4 linked regions of the Diceros bicornis minor genome follow. The protein of the gene in region 4 purifies or fractionates together with the protein of the main gene of each other region. This does not show direct contact. Links are inferred from orthologs where the notes say so. Each region holds a gene or a part of one and is shown on either strand. Other genes may lie near its edges.

Region 1 (7,973 bases), on a different chromosome or scaffold from region 4:
GGAGGGACTGGGAAGAGTCACGGCAGATGGTGGGAGCACTCCTGGATGGCCGGGCCTACCAGCACCTTGTGGACTTTGACTGCCACCTTGACGACATCCGGCAGGACTGGACCAACCAGCAGCTCAACACCCAAATCACCCAGTGGGTTGGTCCCACCAATGGAAATACCTGAACCAGGGCCGGGGCGTGGGAGGGTCAGGATCCAATAAAGAGACTTGGGCTGATGGGCAACGGTATGATGATATTTATTGTGCCTGGGAGGCAAGGTGAGGGAGAAACCTCCACAGGCGGAAGGTGGGGGAAAGTCTGGAGTTCCCTGTAAAAGACAGGAAGGTCGCTGCTGGAGCCATCACGAAATGAGAGGAGGCTCTCAATAGATCATTCCCTTTGTTTCTCCCCTGGGCTTCTTGAGCTTCTCGAAGTTCTTCAGGATGATGTCATATAACACAGCCTACAGGGCCAGGGAGGAGTGGGGGTCAGCCGCAGGCCCTCAGTGGCTCTGTGCCCCATCTCTAGCCTTGTGAGAGGCCGAGCTTTGTCACCCTTCACCCCCAGCCTGCAGGGTCAGGGAGTGGGTGGCCTGGGGAAGCTGCCTCTGCCCACCCCTGCCCTCGCCTCCTCACATAAGCATTGCGGATCTCCATGACCATCAGCCGGATGTCCCGGTACTCTGCCTCATCCAGCTCGTGCACCAGCTGCCGATAATCACCCTGCGGGAGACTCGGGTCAAGCCTGACTTCAAATGTGTCCTTCCCCCCATGCACCCTGACCTGGGCCTCACCTACCACATGGGGCTGCTTGGCTGCTTTCGCCACGGCATCGCCTCGCTCAGAGAAATACCTGTGGGAAGCAGAAGGGTGCAGAGTGGAGAAGGAGGAGGGAGCCCAGGCCTCTGTCCAAGCCAGAGGCAGAGTGTGCATGCGGGTGCAGGTGGGCAGTCACTCACTTGGAAATTTGCGTGTGGAAGCCTTCCAGCTTGGTGTGAAGGGCGGTCATCAGCTCAAACACCTTCTCCTGGGGAAAGAAGGCAAGGGGGAAAGTGGAAAGCAGCATGGACTAGAGATAAGGAGGCAGAGGAGGGGGTCACTGCTCTCACCTGGACAGCCACTCCAAAATTGTTCCCATCCTCTATCCGAGGGATCTGCAGCTGCAACCAAGTGGTGACCTGGGAGGAGGGAATGGCATCAAAGCCACATCAGCCGCCAACCCAATTCCCAGGTTCCTCTGCCTCCCTGCCCACAGTGGGTGGAGGTACGCCAGGACCATCCTGAGCCCAAGGGCCTGGAATTCTGGCTTCACTTGCTGTGCCCTCTCCTGCTAAGACCTACCAGGTGCCATGCCCTAACTGGCAGAGACTAAGGAGGACAAAGGGTTTGGCCTGAAGCCTGGAGGTGGAAGTGGGAGGGCTCACCAGGTTGAGCTGCTCAATGACATCCTTGATCTCAGGCTTTAGGCGCTGCAGGAGAACCACAATCTTCTCATTGCAGTTCACTGGGCCACAGGGAGGACCTAGGGAGTGGGCAATGGGTCAGTCACATGGCTGGGACTGTTTGAGGGGCAGGGAAGAGGAATCCTTAGGGAGGAGCTCCTGGGTGGTGAGACTCAAGTCCCTTCCCACCATAGTGATACCTTTGTCTTCATCGTCCCCTTTCTTCTTTTCATTCTTGTCTTCCTTCTGCAGGGGGAGAGGGGCTCTTGGGAGTCAGGCTTAAGGCTGATTTCCCCACTGTTGGGGCCCTCCTCCCAGCTCTTCCCGGCTTGCCTCCTGCTGTTTCTTCCGCTCCTCCTTCTCTTTCTCCTTGACTGGATCAGGCACTGGGATGTCCAAGGGAGCCTTCAGATTGCTCAGGTTGGCTTCATTGAGAGCTGGCTCCTGGTGCAGGGTGGGAGGAGGGCTGGAGGCAAGAGCATCCCACTCACCTCCTAACTTCATGGCCTCCCAGACTATCCCCTTGGCCCCTACTCTCTAGCTCCCCGCCCGGCCCCAGTACCTTTAAAAATGCATCCAACTCAGAAATCTTCTTGGGGAAATAGCTCCCGAGCAGGTTCTCCGTCTGTGTGTGAGGTGGGGGTGGGGGAGGATAGGGGTCAGAATCGAATGCCCTTCCTAGGAAGGAAGCAAGCCAGGAAAGGCTAGCAGTGGGAGGTGGTAGAGGTGGGGTCTGATGGGGCACGTCTTACCTTGGAACACAGGTCTTCACGGAACACATCCACCTGTGGGACACACGCAGCCCTTTAGACACCTGGCTTTATGGCCAGTTCATTTGAGGGCTGTTCCATTAGGGTTGTGTAGGGCCTGACCTGGGGACGGGTGGAGTGGATCCCCGTGGGGCTGGATTTCGGGGATGAGGACATTCCTGGGGAAGGGCAAGTGGTTCAAGTGAGAAGAGATCCCTCGGGTCTCCTGGGCTGTGTGAGGAGGGGCGTAGGAGAGTCTCTACGACTGGGGCAGGGATGGAGTGCCCTGTGGAGTGGGCCCCGGGGCCCTCCCGTGGGAAGGGCCACGAGGTGGCAGGGCAGGTCCCGCACCCCGTCTGCGTGTGGGCCGGGCCCTGGGCCAGCGGACTTCCCCTGCACGCCAGCTCTCCGCTTCACCTCGCCCCGCTTCACCTCGGCCGCCTCGCCTCCCCCGGCAGGCGGACCTCGCCGGCCTCCCCGGGGCTCAGGTGCTCCGGCCACCGAGGCTCACGTGGCCTCGGATGAGCGACCCCGACTCGAGTAGGGGGCTGGGGGGGCGGGTCGCGGATGCCTCCAGCCTTTCGGGGCCACGCCTCCCTAATGGGCCCGCCCTCGACCCCGCAGCGCTCACCTTGGCTTGGGCTTCGGGCTGGACCCTGAGCGTGGCCATGGCCGGGGCGAGGGGTCTGGCGCCGCGCGGAGCGGAGCGGGCACGGGGAAGGGAAAGCGAAAGCAGCGCTAGCCCTCCGCACCGCCTTCCTGGGTAGGGGGAGTGGAGGTGCTGCAGGAGGCGGGGACAGGCGGAGAGAGAAGAGGCGCAAAGGGGCCGCCCAGCCGGGGCTCCCCCTAGAGCCCGAGAGGCGCGTTTTCGCCGACCTGCCCGCCTCCCCCTGCCCATTCCCCGCCCCGCTCTCGAAGCCCCACCTCCCCCTCACACCTCCCCCTTCCAGCCTCTCTACTGCCTCCGCCCATCCGGCCTCCCCCTCTCTCGCCTTCCTTCCATCCTGGCCTCCCCACACTCCGCTTCCCGCCTCCCCGCCTCCCGTCGCCCTGCCTCCTGTCTCCCCACGGGCTCTCTTCTTCCCCTGCTCAGCCTGGGACGGCGATAAGCCTTATCTGGCGCTCTTCCATCTTTCCTCAGAGATGGAGCAAGACCTGGCTGCCCTTCCCTAGCCCTGCCAGCGTGGACCTTTGGCTCCAGGGCATCGTCTGGCCCATGCAGTGACATTCAGACGCTGGCACCACCCCTCCCAGGCCCCAGTCAGCTCTCTCCTGACCCTTGTTGTGGACTCCACTCCTCTATAACCCACTCCACACAGCGCGTGATCATGCCTTTCTCTTGCTTAAAACTTTTTCAGCTTCTTGTTGACCTTAGAATGAAATCTAAAGGGCTTTCCCTGCCGTGTAAGGCCTGTAAGGCCTGCCTGACAGCTGGTCCCCTTCAACTTCACTTTCCACTGCTTTCTCCTTTATTACACTTGCAAATACCGGGGCTTTCCGTTTGTTTCTTAAACCTGTCATTGCTAGTTCATTCCAGCCTCAGGGCCTTTGCCCTTGCTGATCTCTTTGCCTGACACACCCTTCCCCTGCCTCCTGTTGTCATTCGGTTCTCAGGGCAAATATCACCTCTTCAGAGAGACCTCTCTCCATCATCCTTTATAAAGGACCTCCCCCCAAGTCTCTGTATTACAAAGCAGCCTGTGTAGTACCTTCAGAGCACTTCTCTCTCTGGTATTAGCCAGTTTATTTTTTGAGAAGAGTGTGGTTTAGACCAGAGGTTGGAAACTTTTTCTGTAAAAGGCCGGATAGGAAATATTTTAGGCTTTGTGGCCCATATGGTGTCTGTAGCAGCTATTCAACTCTGCCATTGCAGCAGGCAAACAGCTATACCTAAATGAACTAGCGTGGCTAGGTTCCAATAAAACTTTATTTATGGACACTGAAATTTGAATTTCATGTAGTTTTCATGTGTCATGAAATATCGTTCTTAGATTTTTTCAATCATTAAAAACATAAATTTTTTTATACAGGTCATACAAAAAGTGGCCACAGGAGGGCTGTAGTTTGCTGGTCGCTGGTTTAGAGCACAGACAAGGGACCCATATCGCCTGGGTTTATAATCCTGGCTCTGATATTCACTAGCTGTGAAAACGTTACTTAAGCTCTGTGGCTCAGTTTTTACGACTGTACAATGGAAACACTACCAAACCTACCTCACAGTGTTGTTGTTGTGAGGGCTAAATGTATTAATTTATATGAAGAGCTTAGACACTTAGAACAGTGCTTGGCACATAGTGAGCACAATAATGGTGTTTGCTATTATTTGTGAGTTTATTATCTGCCTCCCACATTAAGCCATAAGCCTCCAAATAGGAGAAACCTTGTCTTTCTTATTCACAAGGCATGGAACTATGCTTGACTCAATAAACATCTGTTAAATAAATGACACACTTGGACCCTCTATGGGGAAGACAGGGTAGGAAGGGTCCCTGAGTAGGGTGCCCAGATAGACAGGCCCCTGAGGAAGGCGGACTCAGTGGAGGAGGCAGGAAGAATGAATCAAGCAGGCTAGAGATGGAGCACCTGCTCAGCTGGAATGCTGCCCCGACCTAAGGGCACTGTTACCTGCCCTGGCAGTGCTGTTCTGAGCATCAGAGCCCCAGATAGCTTGAAGTGTGCGAGGACTAGGAGGCTGAAAGGGCAGCAGAGGGGATGGAAATCCAGCATAAGGAAGGACATTCAAGTCGATGACAGCAAGGAATAGCTGAGGAGCCCCAGCGACCACCAGACTCTTCTTACCCTTCCCACCCTTTCCAAGTTCCCCCAGCCAAATGATGAGAGGAGCCAGAGCCAGGCCTGATGTGCTTTTATTTCTTTCAGTTGTGCTTGCGGCTGGGGTGGGGGCGAGGGAAGAGCCCGTGGCCCGGGCTCCCTGGAGACCAGGGCTGATGATACCAGCTGCCGTAGGTGAGGTACCAGGCAAAGGTGCCCACGGCGGCACCCACCACCTTGTGAGTGTACTGGTGGAAGTAGATGACAGTACAGAGCAGCAAGAAGTTCCAGAGGCCCAGCAGCAGCACGTTGAGCAGGAAGACCAGGCGCAGGGGTGCGCCGGCTGGCAGCCCGTGGGCCAGGTACTTGGCGAACACGGCTGCTTCCTCGGCCATGAGCAGGCAGCAGAAGGTGAGCAGGAAGGTGTGGGAGGAGACCGTGTAGCCCCGCCACTGGTGGCCGGCCGCCAGGCAGCTGCGCCGGTCAGGCAGCTCATGGAGCAGCAGGCCCTGGGGCAGAGGCTCGAAGCAGGAGCCTGTCAGGTCCTCAATGAGCAGGAAGGCCCTGCCGGCCCCCCGCCACACAGCTGCCCCCACCACCAGCCGGCTCAGGTGCCGGGCAGTCACTGTCACACGCCTTGTAGCCAGGAACACCACCAGCAACACGAAGCCCCCCAGGAAGGTGCATGTCCAGCCCCAGGCTGAATTCACAAACTTTCTGTGGGCAGAGAAGAGGAGAAGCTGCTGAGACCCCTCAGCCCCTTCTCCATACCCTGATCTGCGTTCCCATCACAGGTCTGTCCCGAGTCCTACATATCATCACTTGTTCTCTGTTTCCGGTGCCATCTTACCCTGCCCCCCCATCCACTTAAACTTTGCAATCTCCTTAGGGGCCCATTCAGCCTTCTAGTGTCCATATTTCCTCTTCAGCCCTACTCCTGCCTTCCCCTGTACCCCAACGATTGTTCCCCTCCCCCTCCTCCGACCTTTACCTCAACCTCCTAGCCTATTTTTAGTGTCTGGACTGGCAGGAGGACAGAAGCCTGCGGGAGGGAGCTGGGATCCCAGAGCGCAGGGAGCCGGTGCCCACGGCCTTGAATGGACTCACATGTTGAAGAAGTTGCCGTGGCTGGCGAAGATAGTCCGAGGGTTGACATGGAACTGCAGAAGGGGCCCAAAGATGACCACTGCTGCCAACCAGGCGTGGTAGAGGCGCCGCAAGCAGGGGCTGCCCAGGAGGCGAGCAGCTTGTTCACTTCCAAAGTACAGCAAAGCAGAGGCCACCCAGAGCAGCACCTGGACCAGGCAGCCCAGCACTGCCCGGATTCGGGCCCTGGTCCCCGGCCCTGCCCCCACCACCGGCCCCCGCTCCATGTTCCCTCCCCTCCCCACTAACCGCTTGCTCTGCTGGGCAGCTGAGGAGGGGCTGATGGGGCCCCCCCTGGACAAGGACAGGCAGTGACAGGTGTGGCAGACACAGGGCAGAGCCCTGTTGGCAGCTGGCAGGCGGGGGAGAGGGGCGGGGGGCAGTAAGGGGCCAGGGTGGAGGGCTGCCACGTCAGCAGGGTCCTAGCCTCGGGTATGTGTCCTGACAGCAGCCTGTGTCCTTTCCTGTTAGTCCTGTGTCCCCTTGACCCTCTAGGTCTGTGTCCCCAGCTTCATGTTTCAGGGCCAAGCCTGCTGTTCAAGGCTGTCTTTGTCCACAGCCTGCTTGGATCTCCCTCTCTGTTTGGTCAAAGTCACCCCCACTGCACCTCAACTTTACCATGTGTTTGCTTCACAAGGAAATCAGGGGTCATGAAGATAAAACTAACTAAACCGTGGAAGTCATTAAAAAAAATCTGTGTCTGCCTCATCATTAGTGTGGTCTAGCCCATCTCCTGAGTTCTGAGCCCAAGAGCCCACCACTGCAGGATGCAGCAAGATGGCTGTGCATGGCACTGTGTCCAACTCAGGCCTGGGAGGCCTATCAGCAGCGGTATCCGTTTTAGTGCACTGTGACCTCAGGGACTTGGCCCAGCCCCAGCTCCTGTCTGGTCTGAGGGGCTAGTTTGGCCCCAGGGCTGCTGTGTAAACCAAGGTGGTTGCGCAATGCACAAGACATCTGATCTAAAGGGTGACCATTCTTTGGTATGTTTATCATGATCGCCGACAGATGAAATTCAAGTGTCCTGAGAGAGGTGTACTGTATGAGATGGTGGTGGCCGAGGCTGGACTCTCAGAGCCCCAAAGATCAGGTTTACTCCCAGGGGGCGGAGGAAAATCCCCAGCCTGGGGTCCACGGAAACCTTAGGTTGTGTCCTCCAACCAATTACCCTGGGTCTCAGCCACACAAAAGACTTGGCCTTCCAGCCTGATCGCTGGGGCTGGAGCCACAGGGAGGAGAGCAACCCACCCAAGGGAAGTCCCTGCTAGTCAGTTACTGTTTTGAGATCCCTTTTTGTCTTCCTTCCCCATATCCTCAAAACTGGTGGGGGGATTTCAGGGCACAATGGAGGTCCAGGAAGTAGTGAAAGGAATGAACAAGCAAGGACACCTGGGTTCTGGGCCCAACTGTGTGACTTTCGGAAAATCAACTTACCCTCCCTGGTCCTCAGTGGCCTCATGTGCTAACTGATCAAGACGGATTAACCCATCAGGTTCCTTCCAGATCCTAAAGCCCAACCCTCGGCATAGATCCTGGTCATGGACCCCTCCGCATGAAGACCTACAGAACCCCTCAAACATTTTTAAGTTGACAAAAAATTTTTCATTGTAATTTTAAATAGTTGCAAAGGTCATGATTTCCAGTGTATTGTATATACTGACATTTCAAAAATAAATCTATTTATATACTCATTTAAATATATCCAATGGAATCTAAACACTACAGTGACTATATACCTATTACCCATTTAAAAGACACGTGACAAGGGCCAGCCCGGTGGCCTAGTGGTCAAGTGCACACGCTCCACTTCAGCGGCGGCCCAGGGTTGGCAGGTTTGGATCCCGGGCGCGCACTGACGCACCGCTTGTCAAGCCAC
Region 2 (6,961 bases), on a different chromosome or scaffold from region 4:
CAATAGTGTTTTCTATTAAACTTCATATAGAATAACAGAAACAAACTTCATGTCTTTTGCTTAATAATTCTTTTGACATTTCCGGTCCAGACATCCACTCCCAGGAGAGTTGACATCACCTGGAACTGCTTCTTTGAAATCTGAATCCAAACATTCCTGTTCTTCCAGGTCCCTTGCTCAGGCTAATCCTTTCATATTGTCCTTGTACTTAACAGGATCTGAGTCTCTTAACCCTTCTACTCTGCTTATCAGCCCTCTTTTCTCTTCACTTAGACTTCAACTAACTTAGTTGTTAACTACTTTCTTTCAAATACTCTCAAGTCAATTATCTCTATTTAGAGAAGAGAATTCAATGAGATAATGTAGGTAAAGCAGCGGCAGAGAGAAGTGCTCAGCAAATGGTAGCCAACACCGCTTCTATCACTACCAATAACATACATAACATTCTCTTGTTCCTTTGTCATTCTATCATACCAGCCTGTATGTCATACAATCCTCGGCTGCTAATTATTGAAGAAAATCACTAAATTGCCCACGGACGACAGTAAATTCATGCTTCCAGCCTTAACTGCCAAGCAATTTCTACTGTTTCTCTCATCAGTCTTCTGAAATTTGAGACTACTCTAAAACTTCTCCAATCTCCTTAAATCTCCTACCCATCTCTTCCTCCCTTCATTCTCATTCTCTTGCTTCACAGAAAAAAAAGAAACCGTCAGAAAGAACTTCTCCAACTTCCAGCCACTAAATCCTCCAACCTTTCTTCAATTGCACCTATCCTCCCCTGCTTCCCTCCTCTGACAATGGAAGCACAGTCTGGTTTACTGCTAAGGGCCAATGACTCCACATTCCCTCCCACTCACTGTCATCCTCACCCACATTATCTTTAATCTCTCTCTTCATTGGCTCCTTCTCATCAATATTTAAACATATTTAAATATATCCCACCTTCAAAAGTTCTTTTTATGCCAGCTACCTCATCTCTCTTGTGTTCCTCCCACTCAAACTTTTAAAAAAGGTTGTCCACATTAGCTGCCTCTATTTATTTACTTCCCATTCATCCTTTGTCATTGTAATCTGGTTTCCATTACCACACTCCACTGAAACTGTTCTTATCTGCTTTATCAATAACTCCAATAACTCCTTCTCAAGTTTCCTTTCATTTGACCTGTCAGCCACCTTTGGTACATTGATCACTTTCTCCATGTGAAACACTGTTTTTAGGAATGCTCCCTTTCCTAGAACTCCTCCTACCTTTCTGACTGCTTCTTGTGAGTATCCTTTGGGGTCTCGCTCCTCTTTCTCTGTCCATCCTTAAATATACAGTTCCTCAGAGTGTGGTCAAGGACCCTGTTCTTTTCATACTGTGAAATTAATTAAACAAGAAGGCCATTAGACTGAGATGGCTCTAATGCCTTGGCAGTCTACGTAAACAAACCAAAATCTAAGCCTATGAATGCCTCAAGATTACAAAATCTAAATGCTAAGAACAACAAATCACAAATACCAACTGGCTTTAAGCTATAGCCAATCAAATACAGTCATGTGCATGACACGACCTTAGAGTCAACGAGAGACTGCATATTTGACAGTGGTCCCATAAGACTATGCTGACCGACAAAAAATCACTACTGTTTAAACAGCAGATATTTATTTGAGCAATTAGAATTGCAATTAGGGAGGCACAGATTCAGGTAGAAACCCAAAACGTGTTCTGATTACAGGAGAGGGTCTTAAGGTTTTTATGGGAAAAAGGGAGGATGAGGTGAGCTGTTTTAAAGAAGAGTTCATTGGTGCTAGACGAGGTAAGGCTAAGTTTGTACTTCATTGATTCGCTTAAGATTTGGTCATCAGGCAAAAGGCTAAAACTTGTACTTCACTGATTGGTTAGCAATTCGGTCACCAGCAAAGTCCAGTTTTATCAGTCCTTACAAACAGTATATTCTTGTCCTTACTGATTTCTTGGATTGTCGGTGGTTTGGTCCAGTTTGGAAGATAAAGAAAATAAGACGTGCAAGGAAATTCCTCTGAAACAGCTACTCTGGATCTATTTTAATATGGCTCCACTCATGTCATCCTCCACAATTAGTACCATATAGCCTAGTGTGTAGTAGGCTATACCATTAGGTTTGTATACATACATTCTGCGATGTTCACACAATGATGAAATGACCTAACGACGCATTTCTCAGAATGTATCCCCGTCATTAAGCAACACGAGTATAATTTCCTTTCCTGGCTGCCACATCTCCTCTAGCATATGCCCTTCCCCTGGCTCCTGTTGGCACTCTTAACTGCATCTGGTTTGGCCCTGCCCAATTCCAATCGACTTCTGCTCAAACACTCTTAAAATTTTTAATATGCCTCAGTTTATCTTCTAGCAATACTCTATATATCTCATTCCCTCCAATCCACCAATACGCTAATCTATATCCCAGTTTAGATCACCCCCTTGATCCATACATCAAAATACTTACGCATCCATTACGCATTCTGTCTCCAAAGCTGTTTCTGCCATGTTCTCTCAGTGAAGGGCTTCACTACCTAACGGGCTTTCCAAACCAGAAATCTGACATCATCCCGTTTCTTCTCTCTCTCTCTCACTCTTTATATACAATCAACTTCCAAGCCTAGGCCATTGTACTTGCTGAAGTAGCTCTCAAATCATTTCAGCTGACATCCAGGCCATCATTATGTCATATTTCTTAAGGGGTCCTTTAGGTACCAATCTTGTCTGTTCTAATCCACTCTCCATACAAAGCCAGAGTGATTTTTCAAAAATGTAAATTGCATGGTGCCACTCCTATGCTCAACATCTTTCAATTTCTTGTTGCCTTTAGCATAAAGCTTTAAAAACTCCCTAGCATTTCCTTCTCAGTCTCAATTTTCCACTCCCCTTTTGCAAGCAATCTTCAGCCATTCTGAACTTCTCTGAATTCCTAGACGGCACGCTTGCAGCCTCTGAGCTGTTCCCTCAGCTGAAATACACCGTCTCTTCCCTTCTTTTTCTAACCAACCCTTAAGCTCAACTATCTGTATCACTTTCAGGAAACTTCCTGACCCCCCTCCAGTTTGAACTCCGCTTTAGGTGTTCCCAAGGCATCATGTACTTAACTAGCAATTAAGAGTATTGTCTTGTAATTACTTATTCCCTAGTCTACAGCTCCGCTTGACTTTAAGTCCCTGGAGGACAGAAACCAGGTGCTCTTAAACTTTCCATCTCAAGTACCTAAAAGTAGCGGCTGACACACAAAATAGTAGTTCAATTAATATTTGTTGAACGAATAACTATTCCTTTTTGGAAAGAGGGCGGTCAGGAGAATACCAGAAAGACGAGGGCTCAAAGCGGACAGAGTAAAAAAATCTATACGTAACGAATGGCATGGATACAGAGTACCTAGGTTATCCCACAAACTCGGCCTGCGGGGTCTAGGCCCACTGCCTCGCCCCAGGCCACGGCGACTACGGGCCCTGGAGAGCAGGCGCAGGGGTCACACGACCCCAGGTAAGGAAGGACAATCGCTTGGAATTCGGCCTCGTGCTTCCGGTGGGGCAGCATCGCGCCTGGCCGGTGAGGCCCGCGGGTTGGGGCTCCGAGCCTGCCCCACGGCGAGGAAGGCGCGGCCCCCGGAGCTCCCGTCGTCGCCGCCGCCTCCTCCGACGCCGTCGCCCCGCCCCGGAAGTGACTTGAGGCCCGTCCGGAACCTCGGGCCCGGCGGCTGCAGCGTCACCAGCGGAGCCGGTGCGGGGCGGGCGGAGCGGCCGCTGCCGCAGCCAACGAACCAGGCACCGCGCGGGGCCAGCAGCGCGCCGGCCAGGGGAGGGGATCCGGCGGTCGGGCCGAGGACGACGGGCCGCCGGCGGCCGCGGGGCGACGACGACGCGGAGGAGGCGGAGCCCGGAGAGGGGTGGGGGCCGGGGAGGGCTAGGGTGGGAGGGTGGGGGGGTGTCCCTGGGCTCATGGAGCCGGCCGAGCGGGCAGGCGGCCGGGATCCCCCGGAGCCGGGCGGGCGTCCCGGGCCGGAGCCGCGGGGCTTCGTCCCGCAGAAGGAGATCGTCTACAACAAGCTGCTGCCCTACGCCGAGCGGCTGGACGCCGAGTCCGACTTGCAGCTGGCCCAGATCAAATGCAACCTGGGCCGGGCCGTGCAGCTCCAAGAGCTGTGGCCCGGGGGCCTCTTCTGGACCAGGAAACTCTCCACGTAAGTGTGCCCGGGCCTCAGGATGGGCCCGGGGCAGAGGCTCACAGGAGGACGTCGGGGGTGGGGGACGGCTCTTTGTCCCACTGGACCGCAGGACCCTTACCTCTGCCCCGGCTCGAGCCGGTGGTCCCCGTGCAGTCGTCTCAGGGTCACGGCAGAAGCCTTGGAAGCACTTAGACCTCCTCCCTGCCACTTTCCTACGGAACCTCCCCGGTCCTCACCAGCCCTCAGTGTCCTCCCCTGCTTTTTCTCCCCAAGGATTCAGGTTGTTTTCCGACCTGCGGGGCCCCCAGGGAAAGAGATGAGCGGTCCCCCAAGGGGGCTCCTTGGACCTTTGCCCGTGGGGGAGGGGAGGCACAGAGGATTCGTCTTTGAGGGGAGCAACTCTTGACTTCTGGTGCTTCCTCCGGTTCTTTCCTCCCCTACGGTCCCCGCCTCTTCCTATCCCTCAATTGGCCTCTGGTAACTTTCTGAATGGGAAAGAGGCCGTCGGGAACTTCTAGGTTCTGCTTTTTTGGGGCCTGCTCAGTCTTTGTGGATTTGATTGAAAAGATTGATTTAAGATCCGACTTCAGCGCATTCTTGGACTGTTCACTAGACGTTAATGTTGAGAATGTTGAGTTTTAGAACCTCGGCAAAATGTATATTGCTCCTGTTGTGACATTTCGTTTGGAAACGTACAGCGTTAAGGAAAAGAGGAGAGCTGTCAGGTTGTCCTGGGTGTTATTTGTATCGGGCTTGTGTTAATTTTTGAGTCGCTCAGATAAATATAGATTACGTAAATCAGTTTCAAGGATTCTATTCTTTTTTTATTACTTTTTTTTTGTATAAACTAGCTGCAAACTGTAGTGCCACTGAAATTAGGGGGAAAGGGCGAGTAAAAATACAGCTGGGTGGGAGGGAAGATTTTAGAGACTTTTTGCTAGGTGGGAATCTTCATTGTGTCAGAAGAACTTTTTTAAAAAAAGATTTTGTTGTATCTTGTATGGTTAACTGTACATAAAATCTGGTAACATTGTATGTTCATGCATGTGGGTATGGGTGGGTGAACACGTAAGACATAAGTCACTTATCCAGTGTTTACCCAAATCTGCTGAGTGAACTGGGTGATGACTCAGGGTTTTGTAACGCAATAGTCTTCTCCACATTTCCTCACAGGATGATTCTTATCTGCCGTTTATGAAGGAGTCTCTGACAGGTTTCTCATCTCCATTTGGTGGTGGTGGTGGGAATAATAATTGCTTTTTAATTAATAAAGCAGAACTCAAACACGTAATTTGCCCTTTTCAAAGAGTGACCATAAAATGTCAAGGTTAATGGCCCTCTTGATTTGAATGTATAGAAGTTTGTGGTGTTGGGATCCATAGGAGACTTGGGAAGAAAAGAAATGCAACAGGGATAAGAACCACTTTTAGTCAAAACAGAAAAATGTTTTATAAATGATTAAAATTCAAATGATTTTTTAAGTGAGCCTCCTAGGTGTGTTTGTGTTACTCGGGCACAGTAAAAATAAAGTTACTTTGTCATTCCAGTAATTCCCCATTTTTATCACCTGGATTCGACTTGCTAGAGAATAACCATTTGCGGGGGGACATAAGCAGTTCCTTTTAGATGCACAGTGTATAAATGTACCAGTGTGTGAATGCATATCTAGATTGGATTTAGGAATCTAGAGTCTACACAGGTATAGGTAAGCATTGTTTTCTGACATATTTATTGTTACTTACTAAGTTTCGCGGAGTAGCACCTAGAGTTTTATTATTTTTGGTTTATTATGTATAAGTAGTTTTTACCTAGAAAGGGCTAAAAATACAGTGGCGACGGTCTGTGGTGTTTAGGGCAAGACTGCAGTTATGTGGCTTAATAATCTAGGAATCCCAAACCATTTATATCTAAATAACCAGCAAGAAATGCTGTGAGATAGAATTTTATTTTGGAACAGTGGTTAAATGCTGCAGACTGATTCTTGGGATTGCGCTATGAGACATTTTGAACTTGGTGGGACATGTTGTGATCTTGGATGTATTTTTTCTCCTAAGTCATGTTAAGGTGACCTGTTTATAGATGTGCTTGTTTTTTAAGCCTTGTGTGTGGTTGCACAAGTTTACATCTAAATGATGCCAAAACATGTGATGATAGCTTTCAGTTACCTGAGTAGTGATCATATTGAGTACTTTGTAGAAGAATGGAAAGTAGTAATGAAAATCTAATTGCTGCCACTAGCTCTGTGACTGTGGGAAAGTTACTTTAATCGTGTATTTCAGAATTCTTGTGGGTGAAACGATGGGGTTGGATTAAGTAATTCTTGAGAAACATTCCTGCTCTGATATTTTATGATTTTATTTTTTATCTTGTAGAGCCTCAAGCCAGTGTGTGTCTTTCTACAAGGATTGTTTGAGGACTTTGTAAAGTATTGGAAATTGTTGCATAAATCAAATACATTCCTAAAGAAGACCAGAGTGTAGATGCTATTTAGAGGCACTGGGACTGGATCCCCTAATCTGGGTGTCATGGGTCTGTGTATCGTCAAGTTCTAGTTTGGGAGGTACTCAGACGCCCCTTTTTTGAGTTTTACGTAATTTTAGTAGTTATTGTAATTCTGTTTCAATCCATTTCAAGACTTGCAGGTGTGTTTAGCATTTCTGTGAAGAAAGGTTAGTTCTTTGAATTTTAAAAATTGGCCTTGTGGTGTAATACAAGCTCTTTTGTACAGACAGTTTAAAGTATTAGGACTGCCTGTTCAAGAGAGATTGTGTGATGTA
Region 3 (7,546 bases), on a different chromosome or scaffold from region 4:
TTTGTTTATCTTCTCTCTTCCCCACGCTCACCATTAGAACTTAAGTTTCATAAGACCAGGTATCTCGTCTGTCTAGTTCAAAACTCTATCTCCAGCACTTGGCAAATAAAAGTATTTGTGGAATAAATGCAACCAACAAACATTAGCTGGGAAGATCAAGATGAGACTGAAATCAGGGCTACCTATTCGATGTCCTTACAGGACAGTTAGCTTACGTTGGTTCCAAAATACTAGACCCATGTCCTCAATGAATATTCATAATCACAAAGAGTTAGATGAGTATATGTAGACGACTGAGGACAAACTCATCCCTCCTACGGACAGGTTCAAGTTCACCCTTCTTACTGACGGTCAGTTATGATGTCTTTTTTATGGAAGACAGCACAAATCCAAAAACCCATTGCTAAACAAGCTAAGAGCTCAAATTAGCCTGAAGCAATGAACTCCCATCCCTTCTGCATCACAGATCATCTGAGCTTGAAAAAATAACCATCATTTCATCACATAGCAGTGAGGATTAATTAACAAACCACTGTAGAACATTTTATAGGACATTTATACTCAGCAATGCTGACTTCATTAACTTTTTGAGAGGTTAACAAAGGACGAGTCCTTTGAAAATAATATTCTGTTTATTCTCTCTTACAATGCTGCATTTTCAAAAGTGCTCGAAATAATTCATTTATGTTTTTCTCTCACATGTAAATACGTTTTGTCTTACCAACTAAAGTGTCTTTGGATAGAGAAATTACTAAAGTTTTAGAAAATACTCCTGCTTATTAGAAAATAAGTAGCTATGCTTCTGTCTTCAAATGCTTTGATAAGTGTTGAAAATCTGCCAGCTGCCCAGAAAAACACCATCCCAACTTCGGGAGAAAAAAAGAAAGACACCTCAAATGAACTATGTGTTTATGGATCATCTGTCAAAGCAAAAGGTTCTTTTTAATGGTATCCAGTACAATGTTCGTTCAAATATCTAACTTATAGAAAACACAAAGAATTGTCTGCTTAATAAAAACGTCGGCCTTCCCTCCCCCTTTAGAAAAAAGGAAGGGCTATTTCTAAAGTAATATATGGTTTTCCAGGAAAGGGGTTAAAAAATGATTCTGTTTTCTGAAATAGTGAAAAAAGTTCATCGGGAAAAGTATCCTAGAAATTTCAAGACTTTTAACAATATTTTATGGCTATCCCAGATCCACTTGCTCAGCAAAGACACTCGAAAAATAATAATGTCATATAAACACATTTTAAAACTGCCAATTTATTCTAAAATGAACATATTTTCAGAGAAATGAATTTACTTTCACAAGCTGAAGCTTACATTCCTTCCAGTTAACCATTCTCCACCGTAAAAACAAACCTGAAAGAGAAACTAACTTGAGCTCTTGGGTAAACAAAGAGTCATATTGGGTTTCACATCCTTTCAACACTGCCTCGCCTAATTAAAAAATAATAATAATAAAATATATACACATATATATATGAAAATACTTTAAAAAGAGAATTTTGAAAATTTGTGGTGGAGTAACGGACGCCCGCATGCAAAACACTTAGCTTTCACACAACGAAATAACAATAGGCAGGTCACTTAATATAATGTTTAAAAGGAGTTACGTCAATACATTATTTTCTGTTTTTATTTTTTAATTTAGAGAAAAACAGGCTTACTTTTAACGTAATAGTGCCTTAACCTGAAAAACGAAAGGGTGAGTTCATAATATGGCATCATTTTACTGAATTCCCTAAAAATAAAGTTTATAAAAAGAGCCAATTAACAGAGAGGTTTTCCATTGAAAAATTCACCTAAACAGCCCCAGTGAACTTTTTTTTCATTTTTTTCAGCACAAATTTCAAATTCGATAGCTGAATATTTGAAGAGGACCATCCTTACTTTTGGACGGTCTAACTTCTACTCCCAAGGTTATTATTAACAGTCCTCTACTCCCAGATTATTGTCCCCAGAAAATGCCCTCGGTGGAAACAAAGCAGCCTCATCTGCAGCCTCATAAACGAACAACAGAATTTGACGCTTTGTTTCTCAACGTCATTGCCCCCAAACTGCAAGCTCTCCAGGGTCATCACTTAAGGCCAACACTGATCTTAGTTTCAGCAAAAAAGCAACATCTCGCCCAGGAAAATTAAAAGATCTGAAACCCGCCGACACCTTAAAACTCCGCAAAGGGTGAGTCAACACCCCACGAGTTTTAGGATTATCGCAGCCTCACAGCGGTACAAATTACAGGTGGCCTCGGAAGGAGGGCCGATTTCTAACTCCTTCCAGCACTTTCCAAACTTTTCCACTGAAATACTCCGACAGCTGGAGAGGGTGAACTTAACTTAAACCCCTGAGAGCCTGGCAAGGTTTCACCCAGCCAAGCGCGTCCTCTCCAACTGGACGTTGCACAGGGCGCGAGAACTGTGCTCCTGGCCCACCCCAGGGTTCCTCGACTGCAAAGGCGGAGGGACGGCTCACCCTGGAGGGGCACGGAGCCCCCCGCCCGCCGGGCCATGTCTCCGCGGGCCGCCCCCGGCGCCCGCTCCCCGCCGGCCTGCGCGTCACAGTCCCCGGGCCCGGCCCCGCGACGCCCCGCTCTCCGCCCGCCTCACGTGACGGCCCGGGGAGTGCCCGCGCCACCCGCCTCCCCCGGGGCCCCGCCGCGGCCGCCCACCTGTACCCCGAAGCGGGCAGCAGGGCCTGGCTCAGGTGCGCGCGCAGCTGCCCCAGCGTCGGCTCCGCTTCGGGCATCTCCAGCGGCCAGGTCCGCTTCTGAAGCCGCACCCGCAGCTTCATGGCGGCGGCGGCGGCAGCGGGAGGGCCCCGGGGCCTGGACCTGGAGGCGGCGACGGGGACCACGGCGCCGCCGGGCAGCTCCCGCCTCAAGAGGCGGCGGCGGCGACCCCGAAGCGGCGACTACCGGAGCTGTGGGGGTGCTGAGCTGTCACCGGCAGAAGGCCACACTACGGCGGCCGGCCTGCTAGCGGGTCTCTGGCGCGGGAGCGCTCCGCCCCTCTCCTGAGGGCGCCCCCTGGAGCCCACCCCGCTGGCGGGCGGCGGGCGGCTGCGCCGAGCCAGGCCGCTCGGGGACTGCGATCGATGACTCGGCGCGCAACGGCGCCACCTGGGAGCGCGGGGGCGCACTGCGCAGGCGCCGAGGGGCCGCGGCTCGCCTGTGTCCCCGTCGTTCCGCCGCCGTGGCTGTGCCCGCTCCCTCCAGGTGTACCTGGAGGGCGTTAACGCTGAGAGGGATGCTGGAGACAGTACAGCTCGCCACTCCGCAAGGCCCAGGTGTGCCTGGCTCTTACCGCGTTTCCTCCGTGGCCTTAGGTTGAGCCCAGGCTCTGGTGGTTTCCTCCTATGACAGTAGCAAAATGGTAGAACAGCTTGTAGTCAGTGATCTCTGTCGGAGAGTATATCAGTAATCTGTTGCTGCATAACAATCACCCCAAAGCGTAACAGCTGAAAACAAACATTTATTGTCCCACAGGTTCTATAGGTCAGGAATTGCGGCATGGCTTGGCTGGGTCGTTCTGTCTTGGTCTCTCATCTACAGTCAAGATGTAGGCCAAGGCTGCAGTTATCTGAAGTCTTGACTCCTGCTGGCGATTCTGCTTCCAAGATGGCTCACTCACATGACTGTTGGCAGGAGGCCTCAGTTTTTCACTGCATGACCTCCCCATAGGGACCTCTTGAGTGTCCCCGTGATGTGACATCTGGCTTCCCTCAGAGCAAGCAATCCCAGAGAGAGGAAGGCAGAATCCGTAGTGTCTTTTATGATCTAGCCTCAGAAGTCACACACCATCACTTCTGTCATATTCTATTGATCACAAACCAACCCTTCAGTGTGGGAGGATCAACCCAGAGGCATGAATACCAATACACAGGAGTCATTGAGCACCATCTAGGAGACTGGCTACCACAGAGGGTCTGACAATAATGGTGATGATGACTTAGATGAGGGAGAGAGCGTCATCACCTTTCATCCTTGGATGCTAGCCATTGTCCAAATCCTTATAAAAGAGTTGAATAAAGTTTCTTCCAGTAGGTGGCAGTGCTTGCCCACATCCTGGCTTTCATTCAGTAAGGAAATGTGCTAATCACCTACTTTGTGCCAGATATTATCCTAGGTGCTGAGAACCCAAAGACTGAAAAGACATGTTCCTTCCCATGCAGAGCTTACAGTTGAGTGAGTAAACTCCTGTAGTAGAGTGTAAGAAGTGTCTTGTTTATGATATAGATAAGAACAGTCCTGGGGATCAGGGTACATAGAGAAAAGTTGCTGTGTCAATAGAGTTCTTTAGTGGCAAGCAATATGGGATCAAGGAAGGGTGGCAGGACCAGGGTGGCTCAGTGTGGCCAGAGTGAAGGACAGAGTGGGTATATCTCAGATAAACAAGAGCCTTGAGCTCAGCAAAGGATTTGGGACACATTCTAGAATGTATGCGAAGCCACTGGAGAGTTTTAAGCAGAGGAATCTTTATCAGCGTTCTTAGTTCTGAGCGCTAGAGGCTGACTCTGGCTGACTAAGCACAAAAGGAGCATATTAAAAGGATACTGGCTAGCTCAGAGTATTCTGGGGAGGACTGGAGAAGTGGCTCCAGGCTAAGCTTCCAGGAATGAAGCTCAGAACCACGCAGAAGAACTGGCCTGATAAGGAAACTACCATGACTGGGATTGCTGCTGACACCCCACCCCACAGTGGAGGAAACTGCTGTCACCGCTGCCAGGAACCACTGGGGAATGGCTTCCACCTTCAAATGCCGCACGTTTTTGCGGTCTCCTCCACCGACAAAATGCCAGGCTTCCAAAAGAGCCTATTTCCTCGTCTTGCTCTCTTCTAAATCAAAGCCTCATAAGGATGCATCTGATTGAGGGAGACCCATGCCTGAGTCCTGGCTGCCAAGAAGACTGGAATTTGGGGTCCAAACTCCTTCCTTGGGGAAGCGAGACTTATAATATTGGAATTTCCCCAAATATAGGAATGCTGTTCAAAAGAGGATAGAAAGCCGTGAGCCTGACAGGTGTATACCACAAGCAGGTGGGTCAGATCTGAAATGTGAATATATCACTGGCAGAGTGTGGGGGGATGTATTAATTAGATAAGGGTTTCTCAACCTCAGCACTATTGACATTTGGGGCCTCATGAGTCTTTGAAGTGGAGGACTATCCTGTACCTTGTAGGATGTTTAGCAGCAGTTCTAGTCTCTAGCCACAAAATGCCAGTAGAACCCGCCTCTCGGTTGTGAGAACCAAAGATGCCTTCAACCTTTGCCAAATATCCCCTAGAAGGCAAAATTGCCTTGAGAACCACTGGATTAGAGACCAGCTCAGGAGGCTTTTTTGGTAACAGAGGAAAAAGGAATTAGTGGAATGACAGTGGGAATAGAGACAACAGGATGGGCAGGGACAATGTTACAGAAGTAAAACTAAGAGAACTTGGAAAATGGCTGTATTTGGAACCATATTAGTTAGGATATAGCTTCAGCTGTTCTAACAGAGACCTAAACTAATAGTGACCTAAACAAGATATGAGTTTATTTCTCTCTGAAATAACATTTGTGGAGAAAACAGTGGAAGGCTAATATGGTGGCCATCTTTGGAGACCATCTACCACAGTCCACCTCTTAGTACTATGTAAGCCTGGGTAAGTTACTATCTATAAAAATGAAAATACTAACAAGAATATATCAGACAAGTATGTTGTAAAGCTTCAGTGAGATAATACCTTTTGTTTTGTTTTAAACCACTAAGTTTGTGGTAATTTGTTACAACAATAATAAAAAACGAATTCACCTGGGATCCTTGTTGCAACCCTTTGCCCAATAGGGTGTAAGCACTGGTATGGCAGAAGTAATCCAACCACAGGAGGGTAGGAGGGTCCTGGAAGACAACTAGAGCATTCTCAAGACACTGCCAAGATTTAAGGTACTCTGGAGGATGATCCTCCAAAACTTCAAAAGTCCATGAGAATGTTATATACTCGGTTGTCTCAACTATCTCCCTCCTTGAGAATTTTTTTTTCCTTTTTTCAGGCTGTCACCTTAATGTCTGCAAGCAATAAGCACTGCAACTTTCAAAGAGTTTGGAAATTTTAATTGCCTTTTTTTTTCAATGGGCCATTTCATAGTGTACGACAAAAGGATGATGTCACTTTTCTGTGGGTATCCGTTCATTGTCTCCCTTGAGGCTTTTTTTAATAAACTTTTAATTTTAGAACAGTTTTAGATTTATAGAATTATTATGAAAAGAGTTCCTGTTTACCACATACCTGTTTTCCCTATTATTAACATCTCAGATTAGTATGTAATTTCTCACACTTAATGAACCAATATTGATACATTTTTATTAAGTAAAGCCCATACTTTATTCAGATTTCCTCAGTTTTTTCCTCATGTCCTTTTTATTTTCCAGGATCCCATCCAGGATGCCATATTACATTAAGTCGGCATGTCTCCCTAGGCTTCTCTTGGTTGTGACAATTCCTTAGACTTTTCTTGGTTTTTTTTAATGACCTAGACAGTTTTGAGGATGACTGGTCAGGGATTTTGTAGAATGTCCCTCAGTTGGGATTTGTCTGATATTTTCTCATGATTAGACTGAAGCGATGTGCTCGTGGGAGGAATACCACAGAGGTAATGCGCCATTCTCGTCACATCACATCATATCAGCAGTACATACTATCAGTATGACTTCTTGCTGTTGGTGTTAACCTCATCACTTGGCTTCTCCACTGTTAAGTTCCGCCTTTTTTCTCCTTTTCGTACTCTGTAGCCTTTGGAAGAAAGTCACTGTGTGTAGCCAACACTTAAAGAGTAGGAGTTATGCTCCCCCTCCTTAGAGGTGCAGCATCTCCATAAATTATTTGAATTTCTTCTGCACAGGAGATTTGTCTATTTTCTATTTATTCAATCATTTATATCAGTATGAACTTATAGACACTTATTTTATACTTTGGTTTATAATCCAATACTACTACTTTTTGTTGTTGTTGCTCATCTTCTTCCAGCTTTGGCCATTGGGAGATCTTTCAGTTGACTCCTGTATCCATTTGATATCGTTATGGATTTTTATTCATTTTCTTTTTTTCTGTTGTTGAGCACTTTCTCACTTTCTGGCACTACAAGATGCTCCAGGATCATCTTGTATATATCCTGCCTCAACCCTAGAATCAGCCATTTTTCCAAGGAGCCCTAGTTCCTTTTGTTGGAGAATGGTATTAGAAATCAAGATCTGGGCGCTAGGTGTGCTCACGGCTGCTGGGGCATTGTTGCTTCTAGGCCTTCTCAGCTGACAGAGCGAGGAGACATCTATGTGTATATACATAACCATCTGTATCTGTATTAAGCAAAGCATGAGTCCATTTTGATGTTTCCAACTCTAATGCATTACCACACAGATCATTCTTGCCTCCTCCCTTGCTTATCTGCAACCTCCCAATCCAACTGTGACAAACCTGGCTCCCACCATCCACCATCCATTTGCCTAATTGTTCAATTCCAGTATACATATATTGTGGTTTCAGAATTGTTAACCCATACCCCTGTGTAA
Region 4 (7,981 bases):
AGGTCAGGAGGTACTTCGGAAGACACACAATCTCAGCCCGCGCCAAGACTCCTCTCTCTCTCTCCCAGTGATTTTCTCACCAGAAGTCCAGCCTCACGTCCACTTTCAGGACTTGTCCAACATCTGTCACCTGTAAACATGCCACACTGCTAACCTTTTTTCCCTTACTTTTTTTTTTGAAGGGAGAAAAAGGGAGTTAAGAAGTAGATTTTTCCCCTCTTTTTTGAGGAATAACATATATACAATAAAACGCACAGCTCCTTCTACAGTCTTAGTGGGAGTCTACCTGCAGGCCCAGACATGGCAGCTTACAGTAGAAAGGGCAGTGGACCGAGCGCTGACCTGGGCTAGGCCTTCAACATCTCACTTAATTTTCCCACCCATAAGATGGGGACACACTCAATCACCTGGTGGTGAGATAAATGTATGGGTGCATGACAAGGTGCTCAGAACACTGCAAAGTCTTATGCGTTAACAAACAGCAGCTGCTGCACTAATGGACTGGAAGGTGCCTGAGAAAAAAGGCTACATCTCCTCCAGTGCCATCTCAGAGCCCAGGGAGTGGCCCCTGCAAGGAGCAGACCAATGCCAGACCTGCTGGAAGCAAAGCCCCAAGTCACAGGACACCCGAACAAAGGGCCTTAGACACAACCTGAGCTTCACCTTAAAGGTGAGGAAACCGAGGCCTGGCTTGTTTCTGCCCACAAACAAGCAAACTTGGTGAAAAAAGCCTCCTGAAGAAAAGGAAGTAGTGTGAGGAGAACGGCAGGGACAGGAGAGAGGGAGGCTGCTGGGGGCCTTCACATGGACAGGAACCCTAAGCGATCGTTCTCTGATTCCACCAGGACTGGAAAGAAAGAGCTGGCTGGGTTACCTCTCAGGAAGAATTTCCAAGTTTTACGTTCTTGAGACTTAGGGAGCTTTAAGGGAAATGAGAGAGAGAATTTTATGACAAGCTTCCACCCACATGAGTGAACTAGTCTCCTAAAAACTAAGTCCAGGCACTGCTGCTCTAAGGCCACCAGCGTCCTGCAGAACCTGCCATCTGTGACTATATCCTCCCTCTTGAAACCCTACCCTGATTTTTTTCCTCTGGCCTCTCTTCTTCCCTCACTGCTAAATACACAGTTTGGCTCTCAAACTGCAGCTTATTTTTTTCCCCTCCATGTATTTTGTCTCTCCAGAATCTGTTCCCATAGATTTAACATATCACCAATGCCTCTCCAGCCCTGAGATATAGTTTCAAGACCCAAGATGTTTCTACTTGGCTCGCCCTGTTCCTTCAAAATTGGTGTCAGAATCAAAGTCATCACCTTTCTCCTAAAACTAGTCCTCCCAATTTCTATATTTCAGTCAACATGCTCAAAACAGAAATCATCTTTAAAACATTTCTAGATTGCCTACATGCCAAGTACTAGTCTAGTTACTAGTAACACACACACACACCAGACCCCGACTCCACCCCCCCCCCACGTCCCGAGGCTGGCTCGGTGGCTTAGCGGGTGGCTTAGCGGTTAAGTGCACACACTCCGCCGATTCGGAGGCCTGGGGTTCACAGGTTCGTATCCCAAACGCGCACCGGATCCCGAAGGCGCAGCGATGCCCGCTTGTCAAGCCGTGCTGAGGCGGCGTCCCAGATAAAGTAGAGGAAGATGGGCACGGATGTTAGCCCAGGGCCAATCTTCCTCACACACACACAAAAAAACCAGACACAGACCTCGACCTCCATGAATGGCTCTTTGGCCTCACAATATCCAAGCAGCCACTACAGCTGGTCAGTAACAACTCTCAGAAATGCCTTCCTTTCCTTTCCCACCACTACCACCCCATTAGGACCATAACCCTCACACCTAGACCATCACAACAGTTACCTGCTTCATCTCCCAGACTCTCTCTCCTCTCAAATCACAGAAACACTGTCAACTAGATAACTAATCTAGCAGTTAATATGCACCAGCTCATCAAGAGTCAGTTATCTTTCCCATATATGCCTGCCTTGTCTCTCAACTAGACCTGAAGTTCTTTAGGGACTGAGCACAGACTTTGACCTCGGGGAGACCTGCACTGGGATCCTGGGTGACATTCATTAGCTTGCATCTTGGCAAGACACTCTCTGAGACCCTCAATTTCCTCATCTGCAAATGGGACAGCAACATGGTAAAGTCGTTAAGAGAATTAAATAAGTCCGTGCATGTAAGGTGCTTTCCACCGAGTCTGGCACAGAGTAAATGCTGGCAAAAGTTGGTTAGGATACAACTCTGTATCGCTTAAGGTGTCCGGCAAGTCTCAGGTTCGCTGGTGCCGTCTGGTAGATGACTGACCCAGGCCACTCAAGACGCCGAGCAAGGCTGTCCAAGAAGGGGCCTGGGTGTGGGCGGGGACCCCCAACACTTACACGGTCTGGACGTCGGTGGCGAGACCGGCCAAGCCGATGTACAGCCGGTCGCCCATGGGAAAGATCTTCTGGAAGTCGGTGGTCACCATCTGGGCCTGGATCCCGAAGCGCCTGTCGGCAGCGATGGCCACACAGTTCTTCCCCTTCATGGCCATGACGGCCCCTCCGTTATAGGACATAATAGACTGGGGCAGACAGGGCGGAGGTACTCAGCGCGAGGGCCAAACGCAACCATAGCCCCCGGCGCAGCCCCTGATCCTGAGGCTCCTGTACGCACCGTCCTCCACTCTGGAGGCGCCCGGACGCCCCGAATCCAGCCCTGACATGAGCGCGGTGCAGCCGCGAGGACCTGAATTCACCCCCTGGGTCCTCACCGCGGTTCGCTCCCCTTCAAACTGGAGCCGCTTCCTTCCATCGACCACCAGGCCCTCTCCGCCCCCCAAACGTCCCATGACCCCATGCCCGTTCCTCAATCCCTACCCCATGTCCTTTCTCCCCGCTCCCCATCTCACCATGACTGCGGCGTACTGGGACCTCCACTCGCCACAACTTCAGCAAACCGGCGAAGGCCCTCGCTGCGCAACCACTCCTGTTGCTTTCTCTCTAGTAGCTGAAAGGCCGACCCTTCCGGCACATTTTGGCTTCCTATTGGCTGTGCATCTCTGTCAGTCATCAGATCAGGAGTTTGGTTGAGAAGCCAAAACGGAGACAGCGGAAAGTGAAAAGTCACTGTGAGTGCGGAAGAGCCTGGCCTCGCGGTGCGAGCTGGGATCGTGGCGGACCCGGACTCAGGAGGCCAGAGACAGGGGCGGGGACGTGCGCGCACGTGGGCCGGTGGAGCCCGAGATAGGGGCCTGTGGTCCCAGCTGAAGCCTGACGGTGTTGGTTATGAACACGTCGTGTGGGTCGGGCGTATTACTCACGCTAGCTTGTTTCACTTATTCATTCCAGAAATCCTTACGTCTGTTGTGTGCCAGGCACTGTGCTAGGCTTTGGACATTCACAGGCCTAGAACGGCGCCTGGTATTTAGGAGGCGCCCATTAAGTGCATATTTAATGTTGAGAGGTGGAGGGGTCGGGGGAGGGTGCCGCAGGTATTCTGCAGCTGCAGGGGTTCAGCTGCAGAGGGGAGGTTTGGAGGCCGAAGGTTGTTCTGCTTTTGGGGACTCTCAGCAGATGGACTTTACTTATCTCCAAGTCTCAAGTCACCCTAAAAAGGGACGTTCCGGGCTTCCCCATATCTTCCTTCCCCGAGGAAGCCGGCGACGATCTCTCCCAGAGCCAATGGGGGAGAGGCGTGCGCGTCCCGCCTCCTCCCCTCCCCTGATCGGGACCCTTCCCTCTCTTTCCAGAGTCGAGCTTCTTTCGGCCCATTGCAGAATTTCTGTTCTGCCTTCTGCATCATCGCAGGCTCACTCCTATTGACTCGACTCACTGCCACGCTGGTGATTGTCGCAGTCTCTGTGGCGCAATCGGTTAGCGCGTTCGGCTGTTAACCGAAAGGTTGGTGGTTCGAGCCCACCCAGGGACGCTGTCTTTCTCTCCCGTTTTTAGTAGAAAGGGGAGGAAAAAGGGAAACTGAAGTGTTATTCTCCCAACCACTTAAAAGCCAAATTTTGTATTGAAATGGCAGAGGTAACAATTTTTTCCATAGCAAATCAGAGGGTCATTGTGATTGAAAACTCGCTATTGTTCAGTCAATGGTGGGATAATTTCTCCACCACTTCACCTCCTAACCTCCCACCCCGCCCCCAAGCAGGAAAAGCAGACAGAGGTTTTTGTCTCATTGTGCAATAGGTTTCAGATTGCATTTTTCGTAGGATTAAGAATGAATTTGCAGTGGAGGTTGGACAGTTTTCCATTGTCTGCCTCAATCGATGTTACAATCTCAAAATATTACATTTGGAAGGGAAGAAAATACCGCGAGAGACAAAGGCAGCAACAAACTGAGGGATAAAGAGAAAGATGAGAAAGGGAGAACACAGCTTGATATACAGAGAGGGGACGTGACAGAGAAATGGGCGCGGTGAGTGGAAGGAAGACACCGAGAAAATGGAGAGAGGGAAAACGGAAGCAGTTAATATGCGAAGCATCAGGAAAAGGAAAACAACAACAAAACAATTTTTTTCTAGAAATTCACAGAAGTGGGGAAGAGGATGGGGAAATAGAAGCAGAAACTGACAAAGTATATTGTTTTGGGGAGAGAGGAGTAAAAGACGCAAAGGTCAAGACAGTCATAAAATCACTAGCGGAGCCGCCCTCTCCCACACTGTCAGCACCTTCAAGGGGATCTTATCCTTGCAGTAGCTCTCAGTATGTACTGGAAATAATTACCTAGATTACTCGGGTTCCTGCCCTCTGGAAGCTTCTAGCCTGTGTCAGACACAGTGACCCTTCTGATGAGAGGTGTCAGCTGGAGGACTGTGTGGAACTACAACTAACACAGAATCGAGGGGGAAGCATTGGCACCACTGTCAGCCAGAGGCGCATCCCAGGGTGAGGGGTGGGAGCCTTCACTTTTATAGAGGAGCTAAGCAAAGGACGCCCTCAAGCAGTTCCCTTTGACATATGGTCTCCCTCAAGACTGGGCTCAGAGGCCTCTTCTGAAAGCCCTGCCCCTCGCTCACAGAGGCTTAATGGGCGCTCACAGGGCTGGTGGGGGCAAATGGGAGGGATACACAGTGCCATGGAAGCTAATGGGACAGGCTGTGTAGCCCTCTGGGTTTGCCCCCACTGGCCTGTGAGCACCCTGAGGGCAAAAGCCGGGCTCATCAGCTTTATGTCCTCCGTGCCTAGCACAGATTTGACATTGGCACATGACAGGTGCTTCTTTGCCGGGAAACCAGAGAACTTCAGATATGAAAAAGGTTGGGTCAGAAGGTTCTCCTGATAAACCAGAAAGGCCAGCGATGTGAGGACGGGTCGCCCAGGATGGAGTTGATTAAAATGAAGTTTTAGTGGGTAGTGGGGTCTTCAGCATGCCCCTTCTGACTTATGGTTTGCTCGTGGCTGGCGCTTAATAACTGTCTGAGGAACAAGTGAACGGACCCCCGGTGAGCACGGTGGCCCCCTCCGGCAGCACTCCAGGATTAAAGGGGCCGCAGTTGGGACTCAGAGGGACGTCAGCTCTCTTCCTACTAGCTGATATCCTACCCCTCTGCCCCCAGGCAGCCCCTGGGTGCCCCTGTGGCTTGTGAGTGGGACCGAGATCTTCGCGAAGCCCCTACAGGTTTCTCTTGCCCGAGATCTTCTAGCCCGAAAGGCGTGGCAGACCAGGAGTCCCTGCTGCGCTCCCCACCCCGGAGGGCGATTGGGGGACAGAGAAGGAGGCGCGAGTCTTCCCTGGCAGAGTCCAGGATGCCGGCGACTCACTTGCCTTAGGGACAGTGGGCGTGCCCACGCCAAGAGCCCCCTTTCCATGAGGAGCGGCGAACTCCCGGTCTCCGCGAGCAAGGACAGGGGAGCAGGTGACCAGATCCTTCCCCGGCCCTTCTCCTGCGGCTTCTCAGACAACTCCCTTTGGGCGGAAATCTCTCCCGCCCTTCCTCTTCTTCCCCGCCCCCATTCAGCCGGTGTGGCCTGAAGGCTGAAGCTGGGGTCACTTGGCGGCCAGTATCCGCAGGTCTCCCGGTCGCCGGCCAAGGGTGAAAGCATTCAGTCCGGGAGCCCAGCTTTGGGTCCTCCGGGGCTTCGAGAAAGGAGGGAGGAAGGAGGAGGCGGCAGGTGCTCCGAAGCTTGCGGAAGATTTGTCTCCTAATTTCCTAACTCGAACCACCCACCGCCAGTGCGCTTAATGGCGCTTCTGGCCGGATAATCGAGCTTTTTGGAGGGACAGACAGTGTCCCTCCCTAATAAATCTCAAATAAGCAACTCGACCGTCCTAATGAGGCCCACGGTGGTCGCCGTAACGTAGTATCGATTGGCTTCCCCAGCGCCAGCCTCAGCCGCTCCTCCCGGCTTTTCCAAGCCTCTCTCTTCGTTCTCCTCCCGGCGGGGCCACTGGGGACAGGAGCCAGAGCACCGGGAGGCACCTGGAGCGACGGTCGGAGTCGGCGGGCACCAGTCGCCTTTGCGCTCGCCCGGCTCCTCCCGCCGCCGCCGCGAGGGAGGCGCACCAACCGCGCGGAGCGCGGTCAGCGCACGGGCGCAAAATGCAGGAATCAGCGCAAGGCAGGAAAAAAAGCGCGGGCCCATTTTTGAGCCCCCGTGCCTCGTTTTGTAGTCCATGCGGGCCTCTCGAGTTTGGTCGAGTTATTGTGCCTCGGCCCCGGAGCCTGCGTCCCCGTCTTCAGCTTGACTCCCGGCTGAGGCTGCGTTCCATTTTGCTCCGCGCGAGCACACCGAGGGCGCCAACCTCCACCACAGCAAACCGAGCTCCCCCAAGAGACCTCCCCCCAGGCCTCTCCCTCCGTCCCCCGGCGGTTTGCTCCCTGAGGCGACCCGGCTGAGTTCCGGTGTGCTGCGTTTTAAAGCCAGTGATCTGGCCCCTGAGAGGGGCAAGGGGGTGGGGGACACGCTCTCACCGATGCGGTTAATAATTTTAAGGGAGTGTCACTTGAAGTGAATGAAAATAACCCGGACGCATGGCTGGAGGCGTCGCCACCCTCGCCCCAGCCCAGCGCCCTTTGGTCGAGGCCGAGGCGTGGAGGACTGCAGGGCGAGCCACATTTCAGCCCGGTCCTCATCTCACCATTTTCCAGGCGCCCCAGCTAGGGGCGGGAATCGCAGGGTCAGAGGGTGGGGGGGGAGCACACATATTTTTTGGGGGGAAGGGTAAGTTGCAGAGGGTAACAGAGAAGACGATACATCTTCCAGGGTCAGGAGCTGTTTGGGGAAGGGTGAGGTCGCGTCCTAGTTTTGGGGGCCGGGCCCCCGGCGGGGGCCCAGCCTCGTTAGCCTCTCTCCCTCCTCCTCTTTCCCTCTCCGCAAACACCCTGAAGGAATGAGGTCACGTGGGTGAGTAGTGGGCGGGACCTACTCTTGTCTGGAGGAAAAAAGCCATTTTGTCTCCCCCCTGCAGCCCCGGTCCCTCCCCTCCCCCCTCCGTCCCCTCCCCTCCCCTCTCTCCCTCCCACCCCAAGCCGCTTTCACAAACTCCTTTCTTACCGTAGGTTTCTCCCCTCCCGCCGCCGGAGCGAGAGACACGGCTGCGGCCCCCCTCCCCTCCCTTCCCTCCCTCCCTCCCATCCCCCCCTCCCCGAGACCCACCGGACCCCGAACCCAGGTAAGCGGAGGCGGACGCCCCTTTCCTTTCCTTCTCCTACCCCGTAACCATCTGGGTCATCGGGATGGGGGGCCGGTATTTCCTTCTTTGCAAACCTCTGTGGGAGGGGGAGGCTCCGAGCCGGGCCTGCTTCTCGCGTCCCCGCCCCACCCCCGCCAGCCCCTCTCGTAGCTCGCCCCGTCCGCCTTTCTTTCTCCCTTTTTTCTCTCCTCTTTTCCCTTTCCTCCCTTCCAAGATGGCCGAAGTGGATTCCCCCTTTTAACGATTTGGCGTCTCCCTCGACCACTACCTCTTTGTGCCGCAGCCCCCCTCATAGACCTGCTCCCGAGGTAGCGAGGGGGAGGGTCCGAGGCAGCCACAGG

The links.
Region 1: the proteins of PSMB3 (region 4) and PSME1 purify together in Homo sapiens (affinity purification with mass spectrometry; 4 studies listed by BioGRID and IntAct, counting the BioPlex papers as one, with this or other methods). This does not show direct contact. The link is inferred for Diceros bicornis minor from reciprocal best matches to the Homo sapiens genes PSMB3 and PSME1.
Region 2: the proteins of PSMB3 (region 4) and PSME4 purify together in Homo sapiens (affinity purification with mass spectrometry; 3 studies listed by BioGRID and IntAct, counting the BioPlex papers as one, with this or other methods). This does not show direct contact. The link is inferred for Diceros bicornis minor from reciprocal best matches to the Homo sapiens genes PSMB3 and PSME4.
Region 3: the proteins of PSMB3 (region 4) and FBXO7 purify together in Homo sapiens (affinity purification with mass spectrometry; 4 studies listed by BioGRID and IntAct, counting the BioPlex papers as one, with this or other methods). This does not show direct contact. The link is inferred for Diceros bicornis minor from reciprocal best matches to the Homo sapiens genes PSMB3 and FBXO7.

The regions. Positions count from the first base shown.
Region 1 is NC_080744.1:23,863,588-23,871,560, forward strand, and holds PSME1 (proteasome activator complex subunit 1), read right to left. Parts: upstream 3,010-7,973; 5' UTR 2,850-3,009; coding exon 2,811-2,849; intron 2,216-2,810; coding exon 2,183-2,215; intron 2,056-2,182; coding exon 1,993-2,055; intron 1,875-1,992; coding exon 1,764-1,874; intron 1,677-1,763; coding exon 1,631-1,676; intron 1,511-1,630; coding exon 1,413-1,510; intron 1,167-1,412; coding exon 1,098-1,166; intron 1,016-1,097; coding exon 948-1,015; intron 842-947; coding exon 787-841; intron 712-786; coding exon 625-711; intron 453-624; coding exon 372-452; 3' UTR 231-371; downstream 1-230. Other genes in the region: EMC9 (ER membrane protein complex subunit 9), read left to right, coding at 1-173; FITM1 (fat storage-inducing transmembrane protein 1), read right to left, coding at 5,056-5,668, 6,059-6,324. UniProt on the Homo sapiens protein: Implicated in immunoproteasome assembly and required for efficient antigen processing. The PA28 activator complex enhances the generation of class I binding peptides by altering the cleavage pattern of the proteasome.
Region 2 is NC_080751.1:32,400,909-32,407,869, forward strand, and holds the start of PSME4 (proteasome activator complex subunit 4), read left to right. Parts: upstream 1-3,955; 5' UTR 3,956-3,957; coding exon 3,958-4,199; intron 4,200-6,957; exon of another isoform or gene 6,958-6,961. UniProt on the Homo sapiens protein: Associated component of the proteasome that specifically recognizes acetylated histones and promotes ATP- and ubiquitin-independent degradation of core histones during spermatogenesis and DNA damage response.
Region 3 is NC_080764.1:16,477,834-16,485,379, forward strand, and holds the start of FBXO7 (F-box only protein 7), read right to left. Parts: upstream 3,007-7,546; 5' UTR 2,792-3,006; coding exon 2,670-2,791; intron 2,543-2,669; exon of another isoform or gene 2,511-2,542; coding exon of another isoform or gene 2,474-2,510; intron 2,438-2,473; exon of another isoform or gene 1-2,437. UniProt on the Homo sapiens protein: Substrate recognition component of a SCF (SKP1-CUL1-F-box protein) E3 ubiquitin-protein ligase complex which mediates the ubiquitination and subsequent proteasomal degradation of target proteins and plays a role in several biological processes such as cell cycle, cell proliferation, or maintenance of chromosome stability.
Region 4 is NC_080757.1:38,680,424-38,688,404, reverse strand, and holds the start of PSMB3 (proteasome subunit beta type-3), read right to left. Parts: upstream 3,014-7,981; 5' UTR 2,911-3,013; coding exon 2,908-2,910; intron 2,581-2,907; coding exon 2,396-2,580; intron 1-2,395. UniProt on the Homo sapiens protein: Non-catalytic component of the 20S core proteasome complex involved in the proteolytic degradation of most intracellular proteins. This complex plays numerous essential roles within the cell by associating with different regulatory particles.